Linked DNA regions of Drosophila melanogaster. The protein of the gene in region 1 interacts with the protein of each later gene in a pairwise test. Each region holds a gene or a part of one and is shown in the gene's direction. Other genes may lie near its edges. The genes, in order: CG12517 and stl.

Region 1 (3,278 bases):
GTAGGGCGCAAGAAAGATAAATTACTTTTAAAGTGCGCAGAGCCAGAAATGCTCTACTCAGTGCTCCTGGTAGTGCCAACATATACACATATTTATACATATATATACATGTACTTCTTCGATGGCCCGAAATGCAAATGGGTTTTCCCTGCACTCGTACTTCCTGATGATTTGCTTGGGCCGAAACAAGTTTGCCATGTGCAAGTTTTTAGATCGTTTTGCCTTTTGGGCTTTTCTGTTTGGCAGCTTGTATATTATTTGTTAATTGATATGTCGCAAAAACTTTGCATCCTGTGCTGTAAAACTTTGTAATGCCCGAATCATTGTAGATCTACGAAAAATGGATTCGTTGTCTTGGCCACCGATGATAAATCGAAACTCACTTTAATAACCATCTGTTCTCCTTAAAGAAATCCCTGTATACATATGCTCGAAGAGCAGGAATAATTAAATTGTAAAACAGGAGAACGCAAAGAATTTATTGGACTGAACGAACTGGAATTCCAGGTTTGCGTCGACCTCAGCAAAAAGCATAGAAATAGTGCCAGAAGTGGCAAAAATTCCGGGTAGCACAGGTGCACCAGCTGGCCGAAGTTGGGCTCTGTTTAACTATTTTCTATTCATTTTTGCATTTTGCTAATAAAAATTTCATTTTTGCTTAACTAAGTGAAACGAAAAGGTTAAAAGCAGAGCAAGGAACTCTGGCGCAAACGTTCGGCGAACAATGAAGGATTTTATCTTGGCCGACTGTTGTTTGGTCAAGCCTTTGCCGCCAGTACAGTGCTCCCTGGCTACGTTGGCCCAGTTCTTCCATTTCGCCATTCACTTCTGATAGGGAGTGAAATCAGTTGGCGTATAATTTCGTTTTGCCATCGCTCTCAAAAAATATATTTGCACTGTACTTCCGCTTTTGTGCCCGTTGTCTTGTTGCCTAGATAACATTTCCGTCATTTCCCTTTGTGTTGCTCCTTTTTCGGTTCCTGTTTGTTTGCAAACATTTTTAAAATTGTTTGCTGTAATTTGTTTCCGGACCCAGACAGCAACAAAAACCAAAAAAAAAAACCTTAAAAAAAGGGAATATATACAACAAAAAATAGGCAAATGGCCCTTGCCAAAGTGGGCGTTTCTTCTTTTGGCCAACAAACGTAGTTACAGCAGTCGCTTTGTATTTTTTACGATTAAAAAATTATAATTTCAATGCTTGTCTGCCGTTTGGCTCAGCACGTTTGGTCCATCTTTTTAACTTGATTTTTGTGCTGCCAAATGGCGGCGACAGCTGTGGGTATACCATGTTCTATAAATCCAATTAATCGGGATATCCCTAGGAATTTGGGCATCGCCACTATCCCAAAATTCGGCAGCACGTTCCATGACTTTTATTAGTTTCACTTTTTTTCGCCGAGAATTTATGGCGATTTTTGTATATCTATGCAAATGTTTTTTATACGGCTGTATGTGTGGTTGGGTATAAAAATATTTATTTGTTTACTTGCCGTATTGCTGTCCAATTATTAACAATTACACAGTTTTCAAGTTTGAATTTCAAATGGCGCTATAAGAACTGGTAAAAGATACAATTAGGGAAATTTCAGTCAACCAAATGAGTTATTCATTTTAATTATATTGAGTAAATTACATATCAATTACAGCATTTTTTTTAGTTTTTATTCGGACAGCAATTTAATTGGTTAAAATCCTGTTTACTTTTCTCTACATTCGTTTGCATTGTAAAAGTGCCGGAGTGTGTCATCTGTTGATTAAATTATATACGTATGTATGTATCTATTTGTAAGCAAACACTGACGTCATTCGCATTCTAATTCCAAACGAAATGAAAATATTTAAATAAAAAATAAACTTTGCCACGTGCTGCACTCGAATGCAATCGGAAGTCACGTACCATGCTGACTCAAAGTTTGCAACGCAAATAGTGAAAGTGCTGCGAAATCTAAAATTAAATAAAGCTCGTAATTTGACAAAGTTATTAATAAGATAGCTTCGCCGGCGTTTCAGATACTTCTGCTTCAGCGCATTACGTTACAATCGAGCAAAGCTGAAAAATGAAATACGAACCAACGATCACACAGCACGTAGAAATGTTTGAAGTTTTGTGGCGATTTCAGTTCAAAACCAAATTTGCTGCAGATCGGACGCAAAGTTTTCAAACGGACTTCAAAGGATATATATTCATAAAATGAGTAACCTGGGATCAATACTGCTCCTTCTGCTCATCATCTGTATCGAACGCTCGCGACAGCAACGCTTCTCGCATCCCGAATCCTGGACGGATAATGGGATTTACGTTCCCGGTTCGGAGGACGACCTGGACTGGACGGGCGCCAATTGGCAGCTGGTGGTCCGCTTTCTGATGCAGCGCCAGCAGCTGCGTTTCTGCATCGCACTGGCCAGATTCGATGAGCAATTGGTGCCCGGCACAGCCTGCCAGGCTCTTTTGGCCAACGGCCCGCTTATGGCCAACTGCGATATTGGCAACATCGAGGATCTGACCATGACCTTGCGCTATGCCTTCGGCGAAATTCTGCTGGACACAAGTCGAAAATGCCGTCCTGGCTTGGAGCTATTCGGAGTTCGCTGCAGGCGGAGGGCATAACCTGGGGAAAGGTTTTATTAAATATTTTAACTTTAATTTTAAAAATACTAGTACAGTTTCAACAATGCCAAACAATTTTTTTAGTTACCCTTTTCTCTGCAAAAGTTGTCTAAGTTCGTTCTAATTTTATGGCACTTAAATACTTTGGATAACTGCTATTATTTCTAATTATCATCGATGTATTTTTGTGTGCAGATACGACAGTAAGCCAAGTGTTGCCAGAAATAACTGCATTAGTTTGTCGCTAATAAATTAGTAACTAATGGAAAATCGTAACATTTTTGCTAGCTGCTGAAACTACTAATTGTTCCCATTTCCAAATCGCCTCCTAAGTGCATTGCTAATTCACTTTATCGAGCAATTTTTCATCGTCTGCCCTGTGCTGTCCCTTGTCATTTCAATATGTCAATAAAAATCAGAATGTAACACTACCACCACTGCCCATCCCCTGATATATATTCGTTTCCATTGGAAACTGGGTGAAGGACTGAGTCCGAGTGGCGAGTCCTTGCCGAGTGCACTGCCTCCCTGACAAATGACGATTATAATTTGTAAAATGCGCCCATCTTGTTGTTCCCCTTCAGATCCTCAGAGGTCCCCAGATCCCCAGTTGCTTGTCGCATCCCCGATATGTTCGACTTGTGGCCTAGATGTTGCTGTCCGGCCA
Region 2 (4,838 bases), on another chromosome or scaffold:
GCGAAAAATAGGTGTGGAGAGTACTAATTAACGGTGCAAGCACCGCCGGTAGAAAATTGCGCCAAAATGTGAGCAAGGCAACTGCAACAACGACAACAATGAGCGCCCGGGACAAACGGCACTCTTTCTTTTCCCCCTCCCTTCACACACTCATCGCACTATCGCAGCGTCCTCTTTGCCCCTCTCTACATGACCACGCTGCAATGGCGTCTCGCTGATGACGAGCCCACTAGTTTGTGACTTTACCATGACCTTTTCGCGGATGCCACGGTAATCTTAATGTTCTAGGGATCAACTCACCTCATCGCCACGCATTTTCAGTGTTGTGCCCACCATTTTGATTGCTTCTTTTCTATCTGTACAAACACAATTAACACGAAGATAGGCAGACGCTTGGCTATCACTTGGTTTGGTTGACTTTTGATCGCGTTTCTGTGACCGAACGCTTGTTTAGCTGTTGAATTTGTTGTCCGAATATATGATTACTAATAGTTTATAATTTACAAGTCGAGTGCGGGATTGTCAATTCTCCGAAAACCTGATCGAGTTTTTGCACACGAAGCGAGGCCAAGCTGCCGTTTGAATTTGAAAATGGGAATGGGGATGGAAGTAAACTCGATGATAAATGCCGATGAGTTTGACGATATCGATTTCTGGACTTAGTTCCCTTTTAAGCCGCAGTGGCGCTCGAGAATAATCGATTTATTAGAGCAGAGCATGCAAAATAGAGATGCGATACGTGCGATAATTTTCGATAGTTTTAGTGTGACCAGTACTGGTGCACAGCTTATCGATGACAGGGCTGAAACAGTGCTACCCATAAATTTCAAATTTAAATTTAAAATTAGCCGAAAAAGAAAACGTTACAGTTTGAAATTTCTGTTAGATATTCAAGCTCAATCCATTTTATACATATTTTAAAAATGAAAACTTCATGGATTAAATTTGATAGTTGGTTAAGGTTCCCCATTTTAATAAAGCCATCGCTTTGACTGCCAGTCGTCACTCGGTTGCACCATCCATTGATTGCATCAATTAAAAGTTGATCACTTCAATTGGCTGTGTTCGGTTTGTTTTTGTGCCCCCCTGATTTGCATTCGCTGATTTAAGATTTCCTGCTGCCACAGGCCGCAGAACATCGAAACTCCGCGGCGGAAATGCAGCATAATTCTTGCCACTCCGCAGCCTTTTTTGCTGATGATCAGTGTCAAGTTTTCGTCTGCTCCATCATTTTCAAGCACTTGACCACAAAACAATCGCCATCGCCTCAGAATTTTGCCTCTGTTTTTGTTTAGTACCCCAAACTCTCCTGTTTTTTTTTTGTGGCCCTTTGCTGCGTCTTAACGGTTGGCGCATTCTTCTTCTCTTCTTCCGGCGCTCTGGCTCATTAGCATATATTTATGAGTCTGTTTGCGCTCCAAAAGTACTTTTGCGAACTCCGGCCAAAAAGCCGAACGAGAATGGAGCGCCAGCCGACGATCGCGAGCTCGAGTTTTCCGTGATTTTCACATTTCATTCGCAAAAGTGCCGCCGTCGCGAGTGGTTGCCTCGCTCTCGCCGCCTCTTTCTGCGCTTCTGTCGCCGTCTCTTTCGTCGCCACGAAAAAAGTCCTTCGATCGATCCAACGCGCATTGACCTCCAGTAAATCGTTTCAAATTTTAAATGCCCCAAAGCGGTCAGATTTCGGCGTGATTTAGCGATTTTTAGTTAAAAAATATACATATAAAGTGCTTTTCGGCTATGGACATAAAACCAGAAGATCGTTATGCTCCAGAGCCGATGATCTATATGCCGTGTGTGTTTGTTGCTGGCTGCTTAATTGTGCGCTGGCGTTTAAATAAAATCAAGTGCGTTTAAATGACAAAAGACTGGCATTATATGTACAATATATTGGCAATTCAGAACTGGAGCTGGAGCTAAAATAGCATTTTTCAAGCACCATTTGGTCTTATCTCGAGTGTCGATCCATAAGGAAGAACTTAGGCAACAAACTAAAGTACACCAGCCACTAAAATAAAACGAAACATAAATAAGATAGAGTGCAAAAAAAAAAAAAAAGTGGCCCACAACAAATGACTCGTAATGCAATGCCTGGGCAATTAATTAGTGCATAAACATTTGAATTAACAGCCGTAAAAGTTGGAGCCCCGTACACGATCGCGCCTTCATTTGGCTCTCTCTCCCCTTTTGAGAAATCGGGCTCCAAGTTTTCCACCCTCGATTTTCGCCGCTGGAAAATGTAACTCCGCTACCACTGAAAATTATGACGCAAAAAAACCGAAATCGGTGCGCAGCCTGAGGAATAATATATTTGCAATTTATGCAACAATCGTCGCGTGGTTGTTGCCACAACAAAGAGCGATTAGTGCACTAGGAGCATTACAATAGCCACCTGTGGAGTCCCAGAGAAGCCGTCATCATCAACGCATCGTTATGACTGTCGCAGCAATTGGATCTAATCGGCACCGTCGTTTGGCTTTAATTGTTTTGACCACCTTGTGGCTGCTAATCGGGGCCAGCAGCTCCTCATCCTCCACCTCCTCCACCAATCCAAAATCCGTCAACATTGAGCTGCGTCGCAAGAGGAGCTTGCACTACAATGGCATTGAGGTGAGTCCCGATATCAATCAATGCTGCCTCATTGTCGTCCAATGAATGGCACTTTGGCTTTGTGGCTGCACGACGAACTGCAAAAGTAGAACATCTTTCATTGCAACTTAAGGCTTATCAACAAGGAATGTCTTTAGTTATTATATTCTTAAGGTCAGGCTTGAATCATGTGACAATTGTATTTATGGTAAAAGTTTACGTTTGCGGTGAGTCAGGATATTAATCAAACTATTGCTGTGGCCTCAGAGTAGAATGATAAGCGATATATCTTTACACGATCACACTGAAAACTTTAAAGTGTTAATGGAAAAATATCAAAAAACTAGTAAATTTCTATCTAACGGTTAAAACAGCTAAAGCATGTCATTTTATTTATTTATTAAGAAAAAAAAACGTATGCTCGATTTAATCACCAATATTTTCCAAGTGTAAGTGCTCTTGAATGTCATACGATTAACCCATTTACAAACACAGGTGATCATCCATCTACATACGTATGCGTCAAGTGACCAATAAAGAGCATAAAAAATCGCCGTATAGACAGAACATGTGCGCGACAAAAAAAAAAAAAGCAAAAGCCAAAAACATAATGTCTGACTCAACTTGAGTTTGAAAAGCTAAGCAGAAATTGGTCGCAGAGTTCCGGGGGAAAATGGGGAGCTTGGGGCGCGTACTCAGTCGCATAGACAAGGCGTTGAATGACCTCTGAAGTATATCTTTGTTGGGATATATGTTTTGGTAATTCGAGAGCTTTAACCCAATAAACATTAGCGCTGGCCAACAAGGCGACAACATGTCGAATTACATGTGTGTGTACACAACGACTCGTTTTTCCCATTTCCCCCACTTTTCCCAGATTCTTCGGGGATTTAATTTGAGCTGGCGTCGCAGAGTCTCTTTCGGTATTTTAGGAACTCATCACACGATTACAGGGAATTGCAAACAATCTTGCCACCAGCTGGCCGTTGCAGCTGCCTCCAAAACGCGAACGTTTCCCAGGCATTTTGCAGACTGGCAACGAGTTCGAGTGACAGGCGGTTCTGGCTGCCAATTTTGGCCAAGTTATTGACCCTCTGAAGTCATACTTAAGAATCCATTCGCTTGGTTGCGCTCTTGATTACGTGATTTTCCCCCTTTTCATTTGTTTTCCTACATCCGCACTCCTTTCAGCCTCTCAAATTGGCCTGAAGACAATTTTCTGTGATATAATTTCCACGTGTTGGTTTTTCAGTTTTCGCCATTTTAGCCCTATTTTCCATGTATACGAGTGTATGCTTTCCGCTCTTCACTCCTTTTATTTTTATTTTTTTTTGCTATTCTGCCGCCCATGGGTCACGCAAAATTTCATCACATAATCAGCTTGGCTAGCGATTACAGCGAGCATACCTGCATTTTCCGCTTTTCCCCCGATTTTGTCATCGCTTATTGTTGCTGTTTGTTTGGGGCTTTTCCGGCAATCGCCGACTGATTTGCTCTTTCTGTGCTGTTGCCCTTGCAGCCAATTAGTGTCCATTTCATTGAACATTGTTTGCCTTTGCTAAAGTTCAGCGGAAAGATTTTCGAAGAGTTAGGTAAGACCGGAGGTGGAAAAAAGGGTATATGTTAGTTGCAATACAATGAACTGTCCAACCTCAGAGTAATTTTTAATTCAGAATTTATAGCGGATTAGTGGAATGGTGACTACATTCATACCTAATAATTATTCCAATTAAAGATACTATTAACTGATTGAAAATTCTTTATGTGACCCATATTCGGGCAATCCTGAAATACATTTGGTTTATGATAATAGAGTCATACAGTAGAATCTTCAGGCTAATCTAAGTATAATCGGATACCCATGGGCGGTTAACGACCAGCCACGCCCTCTTTTGGCGCAGCATTACAATGTTGATAATAAACATTCGCCACAATGGCAATTTGTAACACCTTCTCCCGCTGGAGGCGGAGTTTCGATCCGAAGAGCCGAAACGCTCTTCACGCTCCGCCGAATCCAACGCGCTTTTCCACAAACAGCCAAATAAAATAAAGCCGAATGAAAACTGTTACAACAAATTAAATTAAATAATCGTGAAAAGCAGACGCACGCACCACAAAATATACGGCGAATGGATGCTAAATGGTATATATGTATGTTTGGGAATAAGACATACATTTTAACTGCTGCACTAACCTTTCCACCCGATGAGCTGGTGACCCCAACACAGCTGTTTGAGCTGTCTAATTGG

What was found.
Region 2: the proteins of CG12517 (region 1) and stl interact in a two-hybrid assay, tested with the Drosophila melanogaster proteins (one large-scale study listed by BioGRID).

The regions. Positions count from the first base shown.
Region 1 is NT_033779.5:10,868,046-10,871,323, forward strand, and holds CG12517 (uncharacterized protein), read left to right. Parts: upstream 1-2,121; 5' UTR 2,122-2,194; coding exon 2,195-2,611; 3' UTR 2,612-2,677; downstream 2,678-3,278.
Region 2 is NT_033778.4:22,806,346-22,811,183, forward strand, and holds the start of stl (stall), read left to right. Parts: upstream 1-1,514; 5' UTR 1,515-2,433; coding exon 2,434-2,610; intron 2,611-4,838. Other genes in the region: CycB (cyclin B), read right to left, coding at 301-336.